2 linked regions of the Rhinolophus ferrumequinum genome follow. The protein of the gene in region 1 purifies or fractionates together with the protein of each later gene. This does not show direct contact. Links are inferred from orthologs where the notes say so. Each region holds a gene or a part of one and is shown on either strand. Other genes may lie near its edges. The genes, in order: GNB5 and GNG2.

Region 1 (12,588 bases):
TCACGTTTCCTCTGGTTCTAATTTTAGGCTCTCCTAAACAGTCGAGAGGACTCATCACAGCTGATGTTGGATACCAAATATCTCTTTCAAGTCACGTTTCCTTTTACCGCCTCTCCCCATGCTCTGGAAATGATCGAGATCCCCAGCAGTTTCAAGCTAGGCTTTCTCAATAGATTATAGCAGAAGAAGAAAGAATACTTTTACCTCTAAAGCTAAATAAAGTTCAAGTATGGGGATGTGGTTTATTCATTGGGATTGGAAATGCTCTAGGATGTGATTTAAAGAAGAAAATAAGAATTCTCCTAGATGGGCCACATCTTCTGTCACTCACTGTGAGGGTGTGGCCGCTGTTGTTTTGTAAAACTTAACACACCCACGCTGTCGCCTTGGAATCTCAGTTGGCTTTTACTAGAATTCCTGGAAGGCTCATGTTTTCTTCCTGGTGCCTCTTGGTCTAGATCTATCTTGTACAGGGCACCACTCAGAGGGCATAAGATCCAGGGGGACACTGTCTCCCAAGTTTTCTAAGGTTCATGTGAAGTCCAGGAATATTTATGAAGCCACAGCGGGGTCCAGGGGCGAGTCTTCCAGGAAATAATTCCATTTGGCCATGATGGCCTACCAAAAGGCCTCTCAGCCCATGCCTCGGTTTACCGACTGAATTTACCGACTCTTTTTACTAAAAATGGTCCTGCAGAAAGAAGTATTTATTATCTCAGACCCCTCTGATTTTTAAGAGAATATTTAATTTGAAAAGAACCATATGAAGTATTTATGTATGTATATATATTTAAAACGAATATAATGTTAAAGCTTAATTGTTACATCTATCATCTGCTCTGAAAGAACATTTTTTTAAATCTTGTCTGCCAACATATTTGCCATCATTTTTCATTACTATTTTCCATACAATAACTTTTTAAAACACAAAGCTTAAAAAAGCAACCTAAATGATTTTCTCTATCTTATCAGCATTCAAATATGTTTTACATTTTTCTCAGAAAAGTACTTGAAGAATTGTATCAGGTTCCTCCTTTTGAGAAGTCACTGTTTCCCAAGTTTTATGGGAACTGACTATTCTTTGGCCTCCACACCCTCCACTCCTCCCTTTCAGAGCATAAAACATCATTTAATAAGCCTCCTTGCCTGTGGCCGGTGGGCCAAGCGCCCTTCTGCAGCACCGCATGAATCCCAACTGGCAATTCTGTTTCTGAAAGCCACAGGCAATCGGCGTGCTTCTGTAACACAGACGTTTATCTTAGCAGTGGAAATAATATATGATCACCCTAGTAGTATGTAATAATGTCTTTTCACATTATAAATGATTTAATTTAGTTCATTTAGATACACTGTATATGAAGAAATGAAAAGTAGACCTTGTAATAGTTTAATCAATAAAATGAATTCCCGTATGAATTGGGTCAGATTCTTTTAATTGCTAGGAGATTATATTTTTCTTAAGTGCACAAGTTTATGCCTTTCTCTATGGGTCATACTTACAGATGGAATCTTTATAGAGTCATTATATCTCTTAAAACGTATATAAGAATTTTTAGAGAGGAGTAAATATGCCCTAAGTCCTAGCTCAGGCGGTGTCTCCGTGGCTGCCAGAATGAGAGGATACTTTCAGAGAGTCGGCTGGGTTTCTGATCTGCACCACGGCCTTCTCCATGCTCCTTCCAGACTTCCCCTATGCCCTGAGGAGCCCATCACCCTTACTTTTCGGCTACCATAGCTCCAGGTTCTCGCCCTGGGTGAGCTTACCTGGCCAGCACTTACCCTGGGCTGTAAATCAGTCATGTTCCCCATTTCCCCCACTGGCCTGTGAGATTCTGGAGAGCAGGTCCACATCTCACTCATCCCTGCCTTCATCTCGATGGATGTTGGCCAGGTGGAGAGAAGTGCAGGAGCCCGGTACTATTGAGGGGGCAGGGTTTGGGAAGAGGAGGCGGGGGGGGGGGGGGGGGGAGTGGGGGGGGGTTGTTGGTCAGCATTGGGAAGGAGTGGATCTTGTTTGGGGACAAGACAAGGGGACCTGCAGAAGCTAAGAAACGTATGCATGGAGAAGGGGTAGTGGGGGTTCTCTCTACATGGGGTAGTGGGGGTTACAGTGTTGATCAGTGCTACAAAGCTGAAGGTGGGCACGGTGGCCAACATTAAAGAGGTGCGGGTGAATTGAGGACAGTGAGAAGGTGGGAGGTGCCAATAACCTCCAGTCACAGGTGAACAGAACATCAGGATTGCTCGGTGGAGCAGGGTGTGGATTCACAGGCAAACCTCTGAACTCTGCCTCCCACTGAGGGCAGAGAATTGAGCTCAAGAAACTGGCCCACAGGGGTTCTGAGGGCACCTGGCAGCACAGATGGGCAGAAGGTTCAAGGGGTAAGTGACGCAAAGCGCAGTGAGTGCCCCAGCAGTGAACACGGAGCTGCAGGGTGGCAGGGATGAAGCAGCCGCGCTGTAATGCCCAGATAAGGAGATTAGACAGGATGCAATCAGTCCCTTTCCCACCGTCACCTTCCAACTGCAGCTCTAACTTCTCGCCTTTCTGCTGATCAGTTCCAAGTGTTGAGTCTGTGGAAGGTATGGATGTGTTAACATTAAATTAATACTCAGGCTTTCTGAAATGCCCAGGTAAGTGTTCAGATGTGTACATACCAAGGAAGAAGCTGTTTTGTTTTTAAAATATGTTTAGTATTGGCATTAGGGAATAAGTTAAGCATCTTGAAATCATTTAATCAGTTTTAAAAATTGATCCAGGTAACACTTTACATGTCAACATAAGCCTCCAAGTGCAGTTTACTGACTTGAAAGAGGTTTTTGACGTAAATATTATATAGTCATAATAAGTTTGGGAGATAAAGCCACACTGTCATGTGTATCAGTGGTTTATTCTTTTTTATTGCACGAACATATCACAATGTATCTAGTCTACTGTTGGTAAACATTTGGGTTTTTCCAGTTTAGAGCTATTATGAATAAAGCTGCTATGACATTCGTTTTTTGTTTTGTTTTTGTTTTTTGTTTGTTTGTTTTTTACCAATTTATACCCCTCCAGCAAGGAACGAGGTCCAGTTCTTCACATCCTCGCCCACACTTCAGATTGTTAGTCTTTTCCATTTTAGGTATACTGGTGGGTAAGTAGTGATACCACAGTGTGATTTTAATTTGCTTTTCTTTGATGACTAATGATGTTGAGCACCTTTTTATGTTTATTGACTACAAGAATATCTGTATTTGTGAAGTGTCTCAATAAGTCTTTTACCCATTTAAAAATAATTTTTATTGAGATATAATACACATAAAACTCACCATTTTAAAGCTTACATTTCAGTGGTTTTTAGTATATTCACAAGGATGTGAATTATCTAATTCCAGAGCATTTCCATAACCCCAAAAAAGAAACCCCATACCCATTAAGCAGTGTTCCCAACCCCACACCCCATTTCCCCCTGCCCTCCCCCTCCCAACCTCTAATCTACTCTCTGTCTCTGTGGATTTGCCTATCCTGGACATTTCATATAAATGGAAACATAACTTGTAGCCTTTTGTGTCTAGCTTATTTCACTTAACATAATGTTTTCAGGGTTCATCCATATTGTAACATATACATATACATATGTTGTAACAACATTGTAACAAGAACTTCATTCTTTTTTTATTGCCAAATAACATTCTACTGTATGGATGTAACACGTTTTATTTATCTGTTCATCAGTTGATGGACATTTAAATTGTTTCCACTTTTTGGCTTAAATACTGCTACAAACATTTGTGTATAAGTTTTATCTTGGGTATATGCCTAGATAAACCCAAGTGGATTTGCTGGGTCATATGGTAACAACTCTGTTTACTGCCAAACTGTTTTCCACAGCTGCTGCACCGTTTTACATTCCCACCAGCAAAGTTCTTTTGCTCATTTTTAATTGGGTTAATGAAGCATTATTTTAAAAGTAAAAACTGGAGATACTCTATATATCTAAAAATAGGAGATTTGTTTAATAAATTATGATACTCCATAGTATAGAATAATACTAAAGTTATGACCAAAAGAAAAAAAAACAGCTCTATAAGTGCTAACAGAATAAGGTAGGAGAAAAAAACAAGTCGCTAACAGCCCCAATTATATAATTAACAAAGCTGTATCTATGGTGTCAGAAAATATGGAAGAATATGAACCAAACTAAATAAGGAGAGTAGATGCGGAACAGGTAACGGGGACTTTTCCCTTTTGACTTTCTATATTTGGCATTGACTCTTTTAAAAATAAATATGGGGTGGTGGGTTTTTTGGTAATTTTTAACCATATATTTAGGTGAAACATTTCAAATAAATTTTGTGTTTGGTGCAGGGTAAGCAGAAGGTTTGAGAAGTTCTACAAACTTCTGCAGAGCAGCTTTGTGTAAAAACTTATTAAACTGAGGCATTTTTATCTTTTTCTTGTCAAAATGCTTATTGAAGTATTTGCTCTGTAAAAAGTTCCCTCGTCATAAAGAGGATTATTGACAATAAGTACAATAGAATGGTCTAAAATGAAATTTTGCTCATGATATAAATATTAAATGGAAAATATCTGGATGAAAAGATATAAGAGTATACATGAACAGTGTAACTGCAATGGTCCTAAAAATCTTGCATGTGCCAAAATGTGAAAAGGAGTCTCTGTGGGCAGGGATCATAGGTGATTCTTTTCTTCCTTATACCTTTTTCATTTTTCCAGACTATTTACCATGACCATAACATTTATGGTTGTAAAATGCTATAATCTTTCAAATTTGGTTTGTAGCTTGCCCATGTGTAACCAACCAGATCTAAAATGTGATATGATTCAAGGTTGATATGACTCAAAACTTGTGGTCTCCATTAAAAAATGGTGTTTTCCAAGAATATGCAATGACATGTGAAGAAGAAAACACTGTTAAGCAAAATACTAAAGTTCAAAATTGTATATGGCATATAATTCCAATTTTTTAAAAAACATATACATATATGCCTATAAAGATGTGAGAAGAAGACACAAAATGCTAACAGAGGTCAATTATTTGTTAGTATAGGGCATGTGGGTGATTAATTTTCCTTCTTTGTGTCTTTCTGTTTCTAATCATTTATAATGAAAACATGTACAGCTCTTATAATTTGAAAAAAAATTTTAATTCAGTCTGGGAATGAAAACATTGTCTCTATCCAGATTTGGAATATTAGCAATTTTTTCAGCTTCTCTTTCTCTTGATCTCCTACAACTCCCAGCCATCCTTCTGTTCCTTCCCCACTGGTTCCCTCAGTTCCTCTCGCCTTCTATTCCTGCAGCTGCTACTCTGTCCAGAGCTCATTTCCTCTTCCACACAATGTGATAATAATCTCTTAACCTAGCTGATTTTCCTGCTGTACAGTCTGTCTCTGACCTACTTCTAGAAGCACAAATGCTGGAATAATCCACTTAAATGACGTGGCTCCCTTGCTAAAAAACCCATGGCTCACTTTCCTAATGCGATTACTTGGAGTCTTCAGCACAACCTTGTGACTGGCTGCCTGGGCAGGCTCGGGCAGTGGGAGGCAACATTACTGGACCTCTACCACGGGCCAGGCTCTAGTGGACCAGCTCTTTTGTGTTCTTGAACTCAGTTGTGACAAAACAGAGCAGCTTGGTGGTGCTGGCTCCACAGTAGGGGTTGTGGAGTCCCACTGCATACAGAGTCAGGCTCCACCGCTGACCTTGAACTCATTGAATCCCTTGGACAGCATTTCCTTAGCTGTCACACAGATGTCCTGCCTCCCTCTCAGGGTGGTTGTGAGAGGTCAGAGCTGATCGCTTCTGCTCTCTCACCTACAAGGGACTGTCCTCTATTCCTTTGTTACCTAGCGTTCTCAAGAACTATGCCAGCTGCCCCTTCGCTGGAGGAGTTCACCCAATTCATGATCTTCACATTCTCCCTGCAGCCCCACTGTGACCTCAGCATGACAGATATTCCCCTCAGCGGAATACCTGCCTTACAAATACATCCTGCCTTACAAATACATCCTTGAAAATGTGGCTCTGTTGAAATATACAAATCAGTGCCCCCAAATATCTTTATACTCAGGAAGTCATTTCTTTAAACCTTGACGTGGCCCACTCTTTGAAACACCTATTCAATTGGCACGTCTACGATGGCCACTCCCTTCCACCTTCACCTCCTCGTCTTCCATCTCCAGCAATGGCACCTGACCCCTCAGCCTCCCGAACAGAAACCTAGGAGATACCATAGACATCTCCCTCTCGTCTCCACATGTCTCCGAGTCCAGCTCCTTCTCCTTCCTAAGTGTGGTCCACATCCATCCCACACCAATGCTTAGTTCAGGCCTTCCTTGCTTCTTGCCTGGAAGAAGTAGCCATAGGCTCCTCTCTGCTCTTTCCGCGTCTCCCGCTCCACCCCTCCCCTCCTTCCTGCTGCAGCTGCTACTGCTGCTGCTGCTATTACAGCCACTCACAGGGCAGCATAACATCTCTGGAGCACTCACTATATTCCGGCCTTGAGCCAAGTGCTTCATGCACTGTCTCTTAGAATTCCCCTGACAATCCTATGAAATAGATTTTTAAGATCCTCACTTGATAGATTAGCAAACGAAGATTCAGAGAGTTTGAGTAACTTGCCTAAACAGTGCGGCCAGGATCTGGCCAGCCAGAGACAGCATCCTCAGCCACAAGATGGTTTTGCTTTCTCCAGGTTACCCTTCCTTCAGTGGCCTGGGCCTGTCAACTTCCGGGTGTTAGGCAGGGACCCTGGGTCTGTGGCTGTCAAATGTTTACCAAGTAAGTGGGATGCTGCATTCCGGGCAGGGAACCAACACATTTACTCAGCCTCATGGCTTTGGTTGGGGTCAGGTTCCACCATTTTCTGACTCTTGTCTTTACTCCAAAATTTCACCCTGATGAGAGGAGTTTTTTGTTTTTTAATTATACTGTTCATTACAAAGATGCTTTCTGTTTTGAAGCCCCACAGGTTAACACTGTGCTGCAAAAATCCAGGTGTCCTTGTCTGCAAGCTGCCAAAACAACTGGTTAACTGTAAGTTCAGAAAACCTATTGTCTGACGCTTTCTTGCTGATTAAATAAATGAGTTGGTGTTGACCCAGCATGTTGTAATAAATCAAAGTTTACAAATTAACTGCATATACTTTATCCTACATGTAGAGGTCTGAGCAACTACCATGATAACAGGAAGACGAACTTTAAAAAAGCTGTTTCTGTTGGTTTTTCTCACACACTTACATCCCTTTTTTCTCTCTCTTTTCCAGCTTCATCTTGGGTAAAAGATGTGTGATCAGACGTTTCTAGTTAATGTATTTGGCTCCTGTGACAAATGTTTCAAGCAAAGGGCTCTGAGACCAGTTTTCAAGAAATCTCAACAGCTCAGCTACTGTTCAATATGTGCAGAAATTGTAAGTGCCACTTTTTAAAAATTCAAGTGGTTGCCTGTCTTAAAATGATGTCTCATGTGAGGGTCCAGTGACGGATAAGTTGTTATAGAAGCAGTTTACACACACAAACGTTTTCAGCGCAGCTGGACTAGGTGAGGCAGTATAGCATGGGTGGGGGGTTAGGGTGTGAACTCTGATCTCTGACTTCCTGGGTTCAAATCCTAGTTCTATTCCCCCGTGTGCCAAGCGGGGGGCGCCGAGGGGGCGCTGTGCCCGCAGGCGACGCCCGCGGGGAGGTGGGGTCGGCCCAGCAGCCGGGCTCGCAGCCACCCGCGTCAGCGCCGGAGGGCGGGGCCGCGCGCGGAGGAGACCGGCTGGAGCTGCGCCTGTGGCCGCCCGGCCTCCTCCCGCAGCTCACCCGCATCCCGGCTCTCGGCTTCCTTCCCTGCCGCGTCCCCGCGCGAAGATGGCCACGGACGGGCTGCATGAGAACGAGACGTTGGCGTCGCTGAAGAGCGAGGCCGAGAGCCTCAAGGGCAAACTGGAGGAGGAGCGGGCCAAACTGCACGACGTGGAGCGTGAGTGCGGGCCGGGGCGGGGGCTGCGCGCGGGGAGGCGGGCCGAGGAGACGAGACCGGGCTCCCGGGATCTGGGCTGCGGGCGGCCTGGGCCCGGGGCGGGATGCGGGCCTCGGGTGTCCCGGCTCCAGGTGAGGCGCTGGGAGTAGCCCGAGCACCCAGGCGCGCCCGTGTGGGGCAGGAGCTGGGCGGCCCTCGCAGGCTCCCGGCACCTTACAGAGCCGCCTCTGGGCCGGGGCACCTGATGGTAGCAGCCCCTGGACGCTGGCCTCCCAAGGAAGGATCGGGGACCAGTTACGGTCATCACCTGCCTGCAAGATGCAAACTGATCGAATTCTTGCCATTCCCAGGCGGAGCCGGTGGAGGGGGGTGTCAGTGGTGGCAAGCACAGCGAGCCCTTGTGGGCGCGGCCTAGGGTAAACTGTCTTGTTTTTTCATTATTTGGCTTTCTCCATCACTGTTGTGTCTTTTCTCAGTTTTGCTTTTACATGGAACCAGACACTGATTTTAGAGCTCGTTATTCCAATCTGCCCACTCTCCTTGGAGGTGGAGAGCCGGAGGGGGGAAGCAGAGGAGCTTACCACATCCAACCATTTAGTTCACTTAAGGTTGTTTGAAAAGCTTTTGGATGGATGCCGTATGGTTAGCATCAGAGACTAATAGCAGTCTTACACAAACGTCATTATTGACCACGACCATAATTCAGAACAGGCTCTCTGATACTTTTTTTTTTTATGAGTGAGCCATTAAATAGCCAGGTGAAATGACTCTTGGCAGGATCAGCTCCCCTGTTCTGTGTCCAGTGGTTCATCCTCAGCAGAGATTGGGCTGGGGCCAAGCTTGGGGAAGTGGTCTTATCTGCTTACGTTTCAGCTCTAAGGGTGGCAGCTCCCCTTTGCTGAGCAAGGCCTCCCGTTGGTGCCCTCAGACACACCTTTTCATGGTGCTCCTGCCGTTCCTATTTGGTACCACCCCCCCTTTAAATTCTATTTGGAAAAGAAAAATGGGGTTCATGCTAGGTCCTTTAGTACCTGATTCCTTTCTTTGAAAATCACTTGATAGAAGCAGGTGACCTGATTCTAAAGTATGCTGTGCTTTCGAAGGGGCCTCTTTTAAATAGGAAGCACACTAAGCCCCTATGTCATTTAGAAACATGTCCAGCTACAAAAAACCATAAACCCCTAATAAAATAGTTAAGCAAATTGGGAGTTATTTTTCGTACATAACAAGAACAAGGGTAGGCGTCACCGCTTTGGTTCAGCTGCCTTCAGGGACCCACACTTCTGTCTGTCTTCTCCACCACCCTGAGAGCAGTGGCATTTGCCCCACAATTATCATATCACTGCCACAGCTCTAAACATCACCCCTCTATCCAGGGCAGAAAGAAGGTGGAATGTGGGTACCAACCTCTGTTTCTCCCTTTTATCAGGAAAGCAGTTTCCCCCTAAACCTCATTTCTCCCCAACAGGTTTTTGCTTACACTTCATTGACCAGAACTAGGTCACGTGGCTACTGCAAGGGGAGGCTGGAAAAGGGAGGACTGAGCTGAGCATATTGTCATCCCCAAGCAGAGCTGGGTTTCTGTTATCAGGGGAGAAGCAAGGAATGGAGATTGGGAGGCATAGGACAGAGTCTTCCCCATTTCCCTTTGCAAATTCCTACACTCTGCAGATGGTAACGATGATGCAATGAGTGTGCTTTTAGTGCCTCTGGGGTAGGTCTGATTTCTCCATTTTACAGATGAGGAAACTGAGGCACAGAGGTCACAGGGCTTTCGGAAAGACCCCAGATAATAAGTGGTGGGATCAGGATTCCAGCGCAAGCAGTCAGTACTCCAACCCAACCTCACTTCAGCTTCATGCCTGGTCCAGAGGGGCTCTCCAGAGGGACACTCAGTAGTGCCCACTGGGATACTTTTCAGCCTTTTCTGTGCATTTGCATTCTGTGCATTTGCAAATTGCTTTAAGGCAGAGAAATAGTCAAGATGCAGTTTTTTCAACAAGGAGTCCCTGTCCTGCCAAGAATGCAGTGCCCTCAAAGGTCACGGCCAACTTTGGACTCACAGTAAGAGGATCTATCCTCACCTGCGTATGAGTCAGAATTTTTGAGTTGAAAAGACCAGAAGTCATGTGGTCATGTTCCCGTCTATGCCCCCTGAAGCTTCCAGACCACTCGCTACTCCTACATAAAACCCTGGCTCTTCTGAGGCTCCTGTCATTTGGCTGCCATCCCTCTTCTCCTCCCCCACGAGCTGTCTTCTGACCTCCCAGCCAGGCCCCCTCATTTCTTAAGGACGTTAGCACATGGCTTGAGCCTTCCTTTTGACCCTAAGCCCTGGTGTCTTCAGGGTTCACAGGGGTGACCCTCCAAACACACTGGCCCCTCACTCTGTGACAGCCCCCTAGGATCTTGTTAGCACTCAGAACTGCTCCTCGTCTGACCACAGTCTCTCCCTTTGGAGATCTCCGTGATCTAGCATCATTTGGCTCTTCTCTCTTCCAATCTCTCAGCTTCTTTCTATACATGTTCACATTTTGGTGGTGTTATATAGGTGGCTCTGTGACCCCTACCCCAGTTGGGGAAACCTCTTTAGATCATAAGCTTAAAGTGACCAAGTTATCCCAGTTTGCCTGGGACTCAGTAGTAAAGCAGATATTCCTGCATCCTGGAAAACACTTCAGTTCTGGGCAAACCGGGAAAGTTGGTCAGCCTTCTGTTAGCTCTGACTTGCCCAAATTCTTGGCTTAAAAAATAATCAACACGGGGCCAGCCCGGTGGCTCAGGCGGTTGGAGCTCCGTGCTCCTAACTCCAAAGCCTGCTGGTTCGATTCCCACATGGGCCAGTGGGCTCTCAACCACAAGGTTGCCGGTTCAACTCCTTGAATCCCGCAAGGGATGGTGGGCAGCGCCCCTGCAACTAACAACTGCATCTGGACCTGGAGCTGAGCTGCGCCATCTACAACTACGATTGAAAGAACAACAACATTGACTTGGAAAAAGGCCTGGAAGTACACACTGTTCCCCAATAAAGTCCTGTTCCCCTTCCCCAATAAAAAATCTTTAAAAAAAAAAAATCAACACAACAAAATTGTACAACATGAACTTGGAGGAAAAGTGAACTTTCCCCAATTCCAGACCCTCGTTTCTTCACCTTCCATCCCTTTGACCCTCAGACAGCAGCCATTCTGTGGGGCCCTCATGCCCAAGTCAGACCCTCCTCAGCCAATATTACATACAGGAAGTGGCTTATGTGGGCAGCCTAAAGGGAAGCCAGCCTCCATCAAACTCCACAGCCCTAGGACCCATGTCCCCGTCTCTGCCTTTCCCTTATTCCTGCAGAGCTTCCTGCCCTGGATGTTTCTCCTTATCCCTTCAGCTTGCCTTCTGCCATTTGTAAGTGCTTCCTTGCTTGAGTCTAAGGCATTTTGGAATCATGAGGTTAAATTTTGTATTAGTTTCCTATTGCTGTTGTACACATTTCCACAAACATAGTGGGTTAAAGTAACCTAAATTTGTTCGGTTACAGTTCTGGGGGTCAGAAGTCTAAAATGGGCCGCCAGGCTGCATTCCTCCTGGGGCGCTAGGGGAGAATCCATTCCTTGTCTTTTCAGCTTCTAAAGACCATCTGCATTCCTTGGCTTGTGGCCCCACATCACTCCAACCTGGTTTCTGTCATCGTATCTCCTTCTTTGACCCCGACCCCCCCTTTTTTTTAATTTATTGGGGTGACAATTGTTAGTAAAGTTACATAGATTTCAGGTGTACAGGTCTGTAATACATCATCTATAAATCACATTGTGTGTTCACCACCCAGAGTCAGTTCTCCTTCACCATATATTTGATCCCCCTTACCCTCATGTCCCACCCCCCGCCCCCTTTACCCTCTGGTAACCACTAAACTATTGTCTGTGTCTATGAGTTTTTGTTTCTCATTTGTTCGTCTTGTTCTTTTGTTGTTTTTGGTTTATATACCACATATCAGTGAAATCATATGGTTCTCTGCTTTTTCTGTCTGACTTATTTTGCTTAGCATTATACTCTCAAGATCCATCCATGTTGTCACAAATATTCCTGTATCATCTTTTCTTAACGCCGAATAGTATTCCATTGTGTATATATACCACAACTTCTTTATCCATTCATCTATCAAAGGACATTTTGGTTGTTTCCATGTCTTGGCCCCCGTAAACAAAGCTGCAATGAACATTGGAGCACACGTGTCTTTATGTGTAGATGTTTTCAGATTTTTTGGGTAGATACCCAGGAGAGGGATTGCTGGGTCATATGGTAATTCTATTCGTAATTTTTTGAGGAACCTCCACACTTCCATAACGGCTGCACCAGTCTGCATTCCCACCAATAGTGTATGAGGGTTCCGTTTTCTCCACAGCCTCCCAACACTTGTTACTATTTGTCTTGTTGATGATAAGCATTCTAACTGGGGTGAGGTGATATTTCATTGTGGTTTTTATTTGCATTTCTCTGATGATTAGTGATGTTGAGCATTTTTTCATATGTCTGTTTGCCATTCTTAAGTCCTCTTTGGAGAAATGTCTCTTCAGGTCCTCTGCCCATTTTTCAATTGGGTTGTTTGTTTTTTTGTTGTTGAGTT
Region 2 (12,781 bases), about 15 Mb from region 1:
CTATACTCCCTCTCATCTCCTTTGTTCTTCTCTTAGAATAAGGGCATCATCCTTAAAGGAAAAGAGCCTTGTAAAGACAATTACCTAGCTGTGGATAAAAATGGCAATTTTGGGTTGAGAAATTCATGTTTTATGATATTGTGCCTCTGCTCTGTTAGGAAGGAAAAGGATGCATTTGAGTGTAAAATTATGACTGCCTGATAATATAGTGTTTTGTTCCTTTTAAACTGCTACTGCCTCAAATACAATGAATACAACAGAGCATAAATGAATTCACAAAAGACACCTAAGCTGTCAGGATATGGGAGGGATTTAGAAAGGCAGCAGGTAAACAAAATGAACTCGGGATAAATGGACAATTAGGGGAAAATGGATAAATGTGATACATTAGGAGCCACCAGTTCCCTTCTGCAGTAGACTTGTCAATATGGGGTCGGGTCGGGCTCACACCACCTTTCAAACAAACCCCAATCCTTGCTGGCAGCTGTCCTCCAATCAGAGTTAACGTGTAGTTTTATTTTATAAAACAACCTTCCTCTATGAATTTTAAGCCCTTAAAATAATTTGCCCACAATAGAAAATTGATATTTTTCTAAAATTGTTTGTGACAAAATGCTATTTGAAAAAAAACAAGTAGCATAACATTGCTCTAAACTAGTTCTTTGAAAGGAGCACATATTTAGCAGGAAATAATCATTTTGACCTACATATATGAATTCAGGGTCACGTGTTTAGAACTTTGCAAAGAGATGTTGTAATCTTTTCTCAGGCAGAAACTCACTGCAGAATACCACATCTGGGCTTTTTCATTGTCTTGGAAGTGTGGCAGTAGGTGATAGGTGATGACAATATTTATAGTAAGATACACCTATAATTATTGTCATTTTCTGGTACAGATACATTTGCATTAGAAATACAAAAGATATAGTGGGACTAAAAGATTATAAAAGTCCACCTCAAAGGGAAATTTCTTGAGAACAGGACCTCTTTCTCTTTATTTCTTTGTCCGCTATTGTTCAACATACTATATAGATAGGTGCCAAATGATTAAAGAACAATTGATTTAATTAATGAAATTTATGCATCATTCTATCTACATAATCATTTTATTTCTGTATGAAATTTCTTTGTGTTGACTGGTAGCGAATATTGTCTAAAGAAGGGCTAATTTTAGATGAAAAGCCATATTTTAAATCTATTATTATTTTTGCCAGAAGAAAATACAAATTGAGTGGGTGCTGGAACGTATCCATTATTTGCCCCCTGGAGATAAATGGAGTAGTTGAGAATTGTGCACCGTTGGCAGAATATGGTGGGAAATTTGCACATTGACTTCCCACAAGGACCTATTCTGCGCTGTTATTTCATATTTCAGTCTCTTGGATGCCAATGTTATAACATCTTAAAATGCTAAAATTTCATCACCAAAATAATTCTGGAAAAGAAAATGGAAATTAATCAGATTAAACAGTCTCCAGGGAGATCAGGGTCTGTAGCTGGTGCATCTTCATCTGTGGCCAGTGAGAAGTGAGGAAGCCCAGGGAAGCGCAAGGAGACCTAGCTGGGTGTGGTCGGGACAGTGCCGGCTGCCATGGACCACACCCAGATGGCTGTAGGTATCCCAGGGATGCAATGCGATGGACAGGGGACGTCATGTAGTGAATAGTGTCAGGGTTCCAGGACCATCTGGCAGCTTTGAAACTACCTCCCATCTAACAGCATGTAAGATTCAGGGAGAAAGTCCTGGGCAGTGGGGGTTAAGGCCTGGCAGAAGACCTGGCCAGTGGGCAGAATGCAGGGTACATTACCTGGGTGCCAGGTGTTCTGAGCTCCCTAGCTATATGGCTTAAGAAGCAAAATCTATTTCAGAACTCCCCCATTGCTGGATCTGATTTTAAATACACTGCCAGGCTTGTTCAGGGCTGGCTTAAGTACTGGGTAGGCAAAGCCTGCTAAAAGTAAGACCGTGGCTTGAGAGGGAGAAGTGAAGCCCAGGAAAGACATGGCCTAATGGATTTTCCCCTAAACCTCTGGTAGCCCTTACGCATGTGAATGCATCTCCGGCTAATAGCCTCACCCTTTCAAAATGATGTCTCATTTCTGAAATTTCTTTCATCAAAGTAAAGATAGTCTTCAAATGCTCTGGAGTAAAAATACCCAGTCATCATTATCTCAGTTCCCAGTGAAACCAGCCACTGCTGGGAAGATTAATAAAGAAGGAGCAATTTTCCATAGATGCACTTGCTGAGCTTGAGTAGGAAAGAAAAGAAAATTGCATCCCATTTGTCAGATGGGACTGGCTTCCTTCATCCTGCAACGTCCTCTGAATCTCCCTGCGATATGCAACATCCTCTAGGAGATTAGAGCCAGAACATAAACTGGGTGCTGAATTTATTAGAAACATGTCTTTTTTATTACTTAACATCCAGCAAATGGTATACTTTTAAATCAGAATCTCCTCTGATTAAACGTATTTAGGATTCATCAAGGGAGTTTTTTTGTTCCCTGAAAGTAAACATCAGGCTTAAAAGAAAAATCTAAATAATCATGCTATTTACCCATGATTATTTTAATCATAAAAGCAAATCTGAATTTTTGATTATGTCCTCATCAATCATCAGACACATATTATTTTAAACTCTAACAAACAACCTCAACTCCCTCTCCATAAAAGGGAAGACTAACGCTACAGGGTAATGAGCCCGAGTGATGGGGCAAAACAGTGGGATCAAGGGGATAGAAGAGTTCCCCAAAGCATTTTTATTTGACAGTGGCAAAGATGCCTGCCAAGGTTTGGACCTCAGAAAATTTGGCTGTGGTGCCAAGATGTGGTCGTGCACATTGGCGCAGACCTGCACTGTCTCTGCAATGCACAGAGCAGTTTCCAGCTACTTCTGCTTCTCAGTTGTTCTTATGTAGACGTAAGTCCCAACAGAGAGCATTTTTTGAAATATAAATTTGACTTTATTTCCTTCATTTAAAAAAGAGAGCTCGTTTTGCAGTTTCATCTTGACAAGATGGGGCTCAGGGTTGTATCCAAATTTTAAAAATATCTATCCATCCCAACTTACACACAGGTATTTTCTACAAATAAAAAGGTACGTGTTCATCTCTGGCACGGTCCCCAGGAGAGAGCGCTTACCTTGTGTTTTGCTGGCTCTCTTTTCGATCATTTATGCCTCTCAAAATAAATAAGTAAATGAATACACTCACATCTATAGCACAAAAAGAAGATTTTCCTTGGATCCAGCTATAAAATAGACACTAAAGCAGATGGGTCACTTAGGCACAGAGTTAATGCTACTTACTTGCATCTGTTTTCTTCATTGTGAGAGAGTGAAAAGCCCAAGTGTTATTGTTTTTTCTTATACATCATCATCAAGGATATAAAATTTAGAAAACTGTTTATAATTCAGCTAGAGTGAAAACTTCGTTCATTTAAATTCCATTAATTCACAGTTCGTTTTGTTTTACATAGTGACTGCACTGACATTTAATTTTACTCAACAGACCTTTTCTTGGGGGATAATAATGCAAGTGATTATAATGCAATAATGTGTAAACAAGATTGTGAGAGAAATGTTTAAAATATTAAAAGAATAATTTGGTTTTGAACATTCTTAAGGTCTTTTGAAATAGCTCTTCACACATAAATATGTATGCCATATGTGAACATACCAAACACAAATTATTTTTTCTAGGTTATCAAGGAGGTCCCCAAAGAAGTGTCTTGCAGCAAACTCTGCATACCTACTTTGAATTATTCTCAGAACTTAAAAGTAATCCACTTCCTCCCAATATATTCCATAATTTAGATGTTTTAGAGTGGTCTTCTGCTTGACAATTGAGGTGTAACATTATAGCTAGCCCCACCCTAGCGGTTCCTGGACCCTGAATAAAAGGTAGATTTGTAAGCCAACTAGACCTCTGCTTATTGAAACTTTGGCTGTTTGTACGTATTCTGCTCTAGTAATGGATATGGCCCAGGTAATGAGCACGGAAGAATAGATGTTTATTAAGCAAAATGGGGAGCAGTCTGAGATAATCTTTTAGCATTGTGTTGCTGACTCTTTGGTGTAACTTCATTTAACAAATATTAATTGAGTACCTACTCAATTAATTGTGTACCAGGTTCTAGGCAAATAAAACAGATATGGCCCCTCATGGAGCTTGCAGTCTACCTGTAAACACACACACAATTATATATACAATTACAAGTTGTGATACAGAAGTACCCTGAAGGATGGAAACAGGGTACCTGCCATGAGATGCAATAGGGAAGACTTACTTTGGATGGAACCGGTAAATGGGAAGGTCCAAGGATTTTGAGCTCTTAGAGTAGCATCCTTTGTATGATTCTTAGTCCTTCTTCCCTTTCATCATTTATAGACAACGGAAGATGACTAGAATACCCCAACCCTGAATTTTGTCTGTGTTGCTGCCAATATTGATCTTTCTTAATCATTTAAGACATCGTAAATGTACATGGGCCTGACAAATTGCCGTCGTTGGGGCCATGGTAATATAGGAGGCAACATGGAATAGTGAAAAGAGTACTGAGCTCCTTAGAAAAAACCTGAATTATTCTGGGTGTGGAGAGAGGGAAGGGAGAAAAGAGAACAGTATTTATACATGAATTATAGTGACCTTGGTTCTGCTCTGGATTTTCCAAGGACTAGCAAGCTATATGTCCCAAGGCAAGTCACCTAACTTCCATTGATTCTCATTCTTTTTCCTATAGAATGAGAGAATTAAGATGAAATAATTTCTGAGGTCCTTTTAGATCTATAGTCCTGAAAGGTTGTGTGGTATAGTGATAAAAAGTACAGGCTCTGGAACCAGATTGTGAGTGTTCAGAGCCCAGCTCTGTCACCTACTGGCTGTGTGACCTTGGGTAAGCTTCTTAACCTCTCTGTATATCCATTTCCCAAAATGTAATATGGGGGATAATATTAGTACCCACCACATAGTGTTGTGACAATTCAATGAATTAATTTAAGGAAAGTGCATAGAACTGTGCCTGCCTCATGGTAAGTACTTAAGAAGTGTTTCTATTATTAATAGCCTCTGAAAGGAGTTCACCTCCTTGAAAGATGGGATTCCAGTAGAGGCGGAATGCTCAAGACACTGATACAAACATATAAACAGACTAATGTGTGGGAACCGAGATTTCCATTTCCATAATTCCTACCAAACCTCCCTTTGATTCAGACATGTTTTAAAGGGACAACTTCTTATTGCTGATAAGGGGGCCACAACTATAGAATGCCTTATTTGACACCCACATGGACTCTGTTCTTTCTTAGGACACAGGCAGGTAATTAAGTCCCTGAGTATGGGTTGTGTACAGGATATTAAACTAGTGCTTGCTTCATAATGCCGTTATACCTCTGGCCAGGGCAGCAAAGCAGCAGAGATAAGTGCCATTCCCAGAGGTGCTGAGATGTGGGTTCTCTTAAGGCAACTGAGTTTTTGTTCTTTTCAAGCAATATAATGAGATACGATAAATTAAACTTGGAAGGATCTTTCAAATCATGAAAAAGTTCATTTACAAATCATAAGCATTAACTTCAGCTGACTTCTGCCTGCTGTAGAGATTTTGTTCTAACAAAGTTAATACAGAATTACGATAAGCAGCATCATTTTCTCTTCCTTTCTTAATGCATCCAAAATCTCTAAAACCGTACTAATTTCCTTGGCATTTTCTTTATAAGCGGACCACCTGGATTCAGTTAGATTATGATCAGTTTTTATTAAATGTTTAATTAATGAAGAATAAATTGAAACTTTACTATGTATCTTTTCTCTCTCTCTCTCTCTCTCTCTCTGTGTGTGTGTGTGTGTGTGTGTGTGTGTGTGTATGTGTGTTTTATCATGTTACAGCCAAGTAAGTCAAATTGTAAACTAGTCTTTCCTATATACTACTCAGATTCTGAGACGTCTGAAATAGTTTAGGAGATTTTGCTTCTTTAGGAAAAGAAAACAAACCAGGATAGTATGATGGGAAGAAAATTGCTTGTGAATCTTGTAAAATATAAGATGTAGTTTTTTAGATAAAAAGAAAAGGAGAAGGAGAAGACAAGAAATTAAGTCTATTCGGAGAACACCTAGTTCCCTGAAATATTTCTGGAGACCAGAATACTAGGCTCTCTCCTACATGTTCTTTGCCTGGATGGATCCCTTGGGGGAGAAGACCCCAAGGGCTGTCCAGCCAACCCCTCTTAGCCCTGCCAATACCACCTTCACCCCACTCCGTCAGCCACCAAACACTGGAGCTTTTACCTCAGAAAGTCTCTGACACTCCCCACTGCCCCTCCTTTGTCCCTAGCTGTGTAGCCTCCCCCACTGAGCTTCCTCCCATCTTCAGTTCTGTTCCTTCTCCAAAGACTGTTCAGAAGGAGCTCAGTTTTTCCTAAAGAGTAAGAAACAAAAAAGCCTTTATGTGGGGAGTCTGTTTAAGAAATAACCGACTTGTGTTTATAAAAGCCCCTTTCATTCTGTTCGTTGGTATGTGCTTCCTGAGCAGCCGCGGGTGGGATGGCTCAATGGCATCCAGTCAAAGATTGCAACTGCTAATTTCCAAGGCTGTGGTGGGGTGGAGAAGGGGAAGTGTGCGTGCGGGCCGCGCAGCCCTGCAGACGCTTCCCCCAGAGGTACAGGGTACTCAGAGCTGGCCCCAGGAGCGCGGCCTTCAGCAGGCCAACATACAACTGTGAGCAGGACAGTTCTTTCTGCCAAAAACTTTCTCTGTTGGTTTCCCGTTGTACAGGCGGTTTTACTTTTCGCAAAATACCGGTATTTACACATAATAACTAAGCAGAGAAAATAATAGGCATCAAATAGGAAATGGTTGGAACCTGTGTAAAGTTTCTTTCTATTGCAACAACCGTAAGCCAGGGTGTCGCATTTCCTGTTGAAAACCATCAAGAGGGTACCCAGAGTGAAGCAGAGCTATGTGGAGAGAGTTGCCTCTTGGTCTTGGAGAATTACATAAAGATCATCAAGCCTCCAGAAAATTGGAACCTGAATTGTGGAGGTAAAGAGAGGGTTGATTTAGTGATTCACAACTTTTTTTGAAGCTATGAAATCATATATAATCATATATATATATATGACTTAGATCATATATATATATGTATATGATATAGAGGGTGTCAAAAAATGTATACACATTTTAAGAAAGGAAAAAACTATTAAAATTGTAATAATATATACCGATAACAAAAGATGAATACAAGTCGCGTTTAACTTCTGCAATTATAAGAGGTGCTCAAAGTGGTTACCATCGGTGTAATTTTAATACAGTTTTTTCCTCTCTTAAAATGTGTATACATTTTTCTTGGCACCCTCTGTATATATGACTTAGATTTAAATGAAAAGACGTTTGTCTGTGGGACTCTAAATGGACTCACAGCACCTCTTTAAACAGAGAATGCTACCATGTACCAGGATTAAGATGGTAAAATTTCACTCTAGTTTTAAATATTTTTTATATTAAAGTAAACATAGAATTAAATGTAAAATGTATTTGAATTTAAGATAAAAGTGGAGTAGAAACCAAGCTGTGACAGGAAAGGGCCGCAGATTCCCTAGGGGCATAGGTTCATTCTTCTCTCAGCCTCAGCAGACCCCCTGAGACATCTCAGCTGAAGGCTGGCCATGCAGCCCAGGGGGAAGGGGCAACAAAAATCCGAAAGATTCTCTGCTCAAAGATACCTAAGTCCCCCAGCCCCATCTTTATTGTATGATTATAAATTCATTAGCCTTTTCAGATTTCTCTTTTTAAAAGCATGTCTCTTGATAGGTTTAAGCTGTTGGTCATTCATATCTTAGCATGAATAACTTGAAACAACTAGCTTTCTGTTCTGATTGGCTTCACAGACCAAATCAGAAGTTGTGAGTTCCTAAGGTAGGGTCACTTAACAGCTGTGTGGACTAGAGCAAGCCAGTTCATCCATGTGAACCCCAGTTTCCTAATCTGAAAATAGGAATGATAGCACCTGTTTTGCCATCGTAGAACAGCTATGAAATCAAAATGGTGTAATGCAGCAAGAAGACCTGTATTAAATTATGAAGTGCTATTTAAATATCAGCTGTCACTATGAGTAATTTCAGTTGAGTTAGTAGTACATCATCATGCTTATTAATACCTATGAGTTGAGATAATTAATCAATTAAGAAGGATGGCATAAGGAGATGTAATTTTGAAATCTACCGTGTTTCCCCGAAAATAAGACCTAGCTAGACAATCAGCTCTAATGTGTCTTTTGGAACAAAAATTATATAAGACCTGGTCTTATTTTACTATGATATAAGACTGGGTCATATAATATAATATAACATAATATAATGTAATATAATACCGGGTACTATGTCAATTTTTGCTCCAAAAGATGCATTAGAGCTGATTGTCCGGCTAAGTCTTATTTTCAGGGAAACACAGTAAGACATTTAGGAAGATCAGACCTACATACGGTGGGTATTACTTCAGCAACGGACTTTGATATTTGAAAGTATTACCGGTCAGAGGAGAGACGGAAGAGGAAAGAGGTAAGTAAATGTGAGAGCAAAGTTCTGCTCAGCAGTTCAACAGAGGGACTTTGAGGTAAAAGCAGCCTCTGATGGCCCAAATTGCTATAAAGGAGAAAGTCCATAGATCAGATTCATCTTAAATTGTTAGGCAACCCCTAAGATACAGACTAGAGTTTTGAGTAAAATATTTCTCAGTGTCAGGATCTACCAAAAGTGTAAATAATTAAAGGTAAACACTGACCCTGCTGAGCTTTTAAAATATGTAATGCTCTTTCTTATCTACTTCTCGTGATGCTGCCTGTCCTCTTCACTGGTGTTCATCATCCTGATAGTAGCAGCAGTTGTTAAGCATGTACTATGTTGGGGCACTATTCTGGCACTGTACAAGAATCATCTTACTTCATTCTCACAGCAACCCTAAGAACTAGCTACTTTAATATTCCCATTTTACAGTTGACAAAACTGAGGCTGAGTATTAAAGTAAGTTGACCAGTTAGTGTACGGCAGAAGATCCAACTGAAACCAGGTAGTAAGACTTTAGAACTGGATGGATTCTGTACCTCCTTGTTGTACTTCCTCCCAACCCATGGAATGGCCATTGTAAGTAATTACAATGTTCCAAAGACAGGAAGTGCTCGGAGTCTGCTCCTCTGAACATCAGAAGATGCTCCCTTCTTTGGGGCCAGCTGCTCAAATTCCCTTATGTAAGACTTGACATTGAAGTCTTAAATGTACTTGGAGTGGTGAAGACAGAGTAGGGCCATAAAGGAAAAGGCTCCAAGGAAGTGATCAGTTGTGTTTTTGTTTTGTCTTTTTAAGCTGAATAAGGATTTGAGAAGAAGAAAGGTGTGGGGATACTGAGAACATAAAATGTCCATTTTTTAAAAAGTGATCTGCAGTATTTCGTGAGCTCTCAAATCTGTTGTTGGCCATGATGAGTTACACTGCATTGTTTTGCTGTCTTCCAAATCCCCCGAAGTCATCATTTTGACTTTATGTTTGCTTCTAATGCCAGGCTTCACCGAGGTGCATTTAAGTTTATTTGGAGAAAGTCATGAAGAACAAAGCAAAATAGTGGATTTCAGATCTTCACTTTTTAAAATATCCCTTCCCATCCAAACAAGTCAGAGAAATGATAGGTAAAAGTAGATTCATATCTAAGAAAAAAGGCAGAAGGCTTATCTCTGACTTTTGAATGAGTTTTGGACTAATTATTTTCAGGGGCGGGGGATGCAGTGGGCAGAAATGTAGACCAAAGGTTGGGGTTCCCGCACGCCCTGACAGCCCTCACATGACCACTGACATGGTTCCCTGTCTGAGATGTCTAATTTTTTGAACGATTATCTTTGTTATTCTTTACTAACTCCTTTTTAAACGTCAATAAAAAATAGACTAACATTTATAGTATCCAGGTATATTAAAGTCACCATAATACAATCTTTTTGAGAAAATACTTGGATAGAGGTGCCAGATATCTGTATTTCTCTATTTTCAGCCTCATTCATATAAAATAACTTTTCACTAGGTCCTGATCAATGAAAACTCAGTGTGTGGGCACCTTTCACCAGTCAGAAAGAGGCGGCCCGCTGAGGCAGATGCGACTATCTTGAGGCAAGTTGCCAAACACGCTTCAGTTGATTCCTTTTCTTGGGCTATTAATTAGGAGAAGAGTCTTCCCTGCTTCCTGGGCTGTGCCGCCCTTCTCAGTTTTTGTCCTCCCTGACCTTTAGCAGTCCTATCTGGTCAGATAATTCCATTTGAGTGCATAGTCAATCCTGCAACATGGTAAATAATTTTGTCTGGGATCAAATGTCTAGTGCTTATCTGGAGCTGATGTCACTTTGAATTACTATCACCATACTTCTTTTCTCTAATCCCTTTTCCCAATTTGATAGTATTAAAATTCTTCAAGTTCAGATTTTCTTTTGTAAGTCAGGGTCTCTAGTTCAATTAAGACCCACCTTCCACTGGATGAATGACAGTAAATAACATTAAACCTCCAAAATCAGTCGTGCCTGATTCTTTATGTCATTGGCTCAAATTCTGATTCCACATCCTTTAAGTTTGTCTCGATCATGTGGCCAGAGATCAAAGAAGAATTCATGTCCAAAGCTGGAGAGAACTGTTGGTATCTTTGTTTTCAGCTTCTGTTGTCAGCTTCTGTCACATGTATAAATTAAGTTCCTTTCCTTGTCACTTGAAACATTTGGTTTACCTTTAGGTCTATGACTTGAACAAACCATAGACTGTACACTGAGCACTCCCTCAGTGCTTTGCATTTGTTAACTGAGAGAAATCATTATTTTTTTGTACTTCACTGTTTTATTATTCAAGATTGAACCACAATGGCCCTTACACAGTTATTACAAAGCAAGTTCATAGTAGTGTTTATTTTGTTTTCCCAGGGGACTCTTTATGCAGCAGATTCTTTTTTTCCCTCCAGCTTTATTGAGATATAATTAGCATATAACATTGTGTAGCTTTAAGGTGAACAATGTGATGATTTAATGCATGCTATCTTGCAAAATAACCACAATAAGGTTAGTTAACACATCCGTCATCTTACCTAATTACCATTTTGTGTGTGTGTGTGTGTGTGTGTGTGTAGAACATTTAAGATGTACCCTCTCAGCAGCTTTCAAGTGTTTAATACACTATTGTTAACTATAGTCACCACGTTGTACATTAGATTCCCAAAACTTACTCATCTTATAAATGAAGTTTGTACCCTTTGACCAACATTTCCCCATTTCCCTCGCCCCCAGTCCTTAGCGGCCACCATTCTACTTGGAGAGAAATTCTTACTTAACCTAACAGATCACTATATTTCACATTAGTACTATAAACGCTTTTTTTTTTCTTTTTTATTTCTCTCTGGGGAACAAAAAAACAAAAAACAAAAAAGGTTAGGTGCCCCTCCTAGATGTTTCCTTTATACCTGGGCTTTCTCCTAGCTTAGCACACAAGACACCATGTTGAAATTGCTTATCTATGGGTCTGTCTTTACCTTTAGAGTATACACTCCTTGAAAACCGGGTTGTATCTGGTTCCCTGTTCTGTCCTTGGCTCCTAGCATGGCCTGGCACATTAAGTAGACAAACCCCAAAATCTCTTGATTATACTGAGATTTGAAAGGAGAGTAGCCACAGAGGGCTGGCAAGATTTCTGTTTAATTGCCAAGTTAGATTAAATAAGGCCACCCAGATGTTTAGGAAGAATGATCTGTTATGTAAGGAAGACTGAAAGTTTTTAAGACTGAGTCTTTTGGTGTTCTTTGCAAACAATGAAGAGAACAAATGATGGATCCTCTTGTGTAATTAGAATCCTAAGGTTTTTGTCGTGGCAGCAAAACCCTTCATGGAAATACCAAGTCTCTGAAGTCCCTGTTGGGTGTTTGCCTTTTTCCAGTCTTTGTACCGTCACAATGCCTGGTGTGAACTAAACCATAGTCGCATATAAATCATGGACGCTCTCCGTGTTCTCAGAACTTTAGTAATCTTTAAAGGCTTTTATTAGAGATTCTGTCCTGCCATTAGTGTATATGTAAAACTCTTAGGAATAAAAACCATTTCACAAACAAGTGGGATTACTGGTATTAGGATTTTTAGGAACAAATCCTAGGAATTTCATGGACTCTGTAATATCAGAGTATTAATTAGACCTCTGTAAAATGAATCAGGCTCCGTTGCTTAATAAGGATTCACCTGAATGACAGACCCAGCAAGTAAGCTGGCTTAAATAAAGGGTTGTTTGTTGTTTCTTTTCCAGCTATTTTAAATAGATGTTATAATGGGTCGGTCCCACTGACCGTTTGGGTTCATCCCATTCCTATCTACCCCCCAGGGTGGATGCAGTTCCTATCTGCATGACCTGTCTAACATTAGCTGAAGGGAGGAAAAGGTCTGAGGATGCTGAGGCCTCTCACTAAGCAACCTTTCAAGGTTTCTGAAAATGAGTGTCTATAAACCGCAGAATTCTCTAGCAGCTTCAGCAGAATTCGCTTCTCCAAGCAAGGCAAAAGGTAAAGAAAGAGTACCAGGCATTAGTCATAAATACACGCCTTATGTGTGTAGAGCCAAAAGTAATTGAATGTGGGTGAGGTTAATGAATAGCTACCTGTTAAAACCGAAAGTATGTCTACCTTGCTTTCCTACTCAGTTTTGGTTTGATTTTCATGGGAATATTCTTCAGGATGAGAGAAGACTGAATCCACTTGCTGTAGGGTCTCCCTGGATCCTTCTATGCTTGG

Evidence for each region.
Region 2: the proteins of GNB5 (region 1) and GNG2 purify together in Homo sapiens (affinity purification with western blotting; 4 studies listed by BioGRID and IntAct, with this or other methods). This does not show direct contact. The link is inferred for Rhinolophus ferrumequinum from reciprocal best matches to the Homo sapiens genes GNB5 and GNG2.

Annotation. Positions count from the first base shown.
Region 1 is NC_046289.1:55,792,282-55,804,869, forward strand, and holds the start of GNB5 (guanine nucleotide-binding protein subunit beta-5), read left to right. Parts: upstream 1-7,728; 5' UTR 7,729-7,864; coding exon 7,865-7,976; intron 7,977-12,588. Other genes in the region: MYO5C (unconventional myosin-Vc), read left to right, coding at 28-180. UniProt on the Homo sapiens protein: Enhances GTPase-activating protein (GAP) activity of regulator of G protein signaling (RGS) proteins, such as RGS7 and RGS9, hence involved in the termination of the signaling initiated by the G protein coupled receptors (GPCRs) by accelerating the GTP hydrolysis on the G-alpha subunits, thereby promoting their inactivation.
Region 2 is NC_046289.1:40,616,740-40,629,520, reverse strand, and holds the start of GNG2 (guanine nucleotide-binding protein G(I)/G(S)/G(O) subunit gamma-2), read left to right. Parts: upstream 1-6,927; 5' UTR 6,928-6,953; coding exon 6,954-7,036; intron 7,037-10,057; exon of another isoform or gene 10,058-10,143; intron 10,144-12,781. UniProt on the Homo sapiens protein: Guanine nucleotide-binding proteins (G proteins) are involved as a modulator or transducer in various transmembrane signaling systems.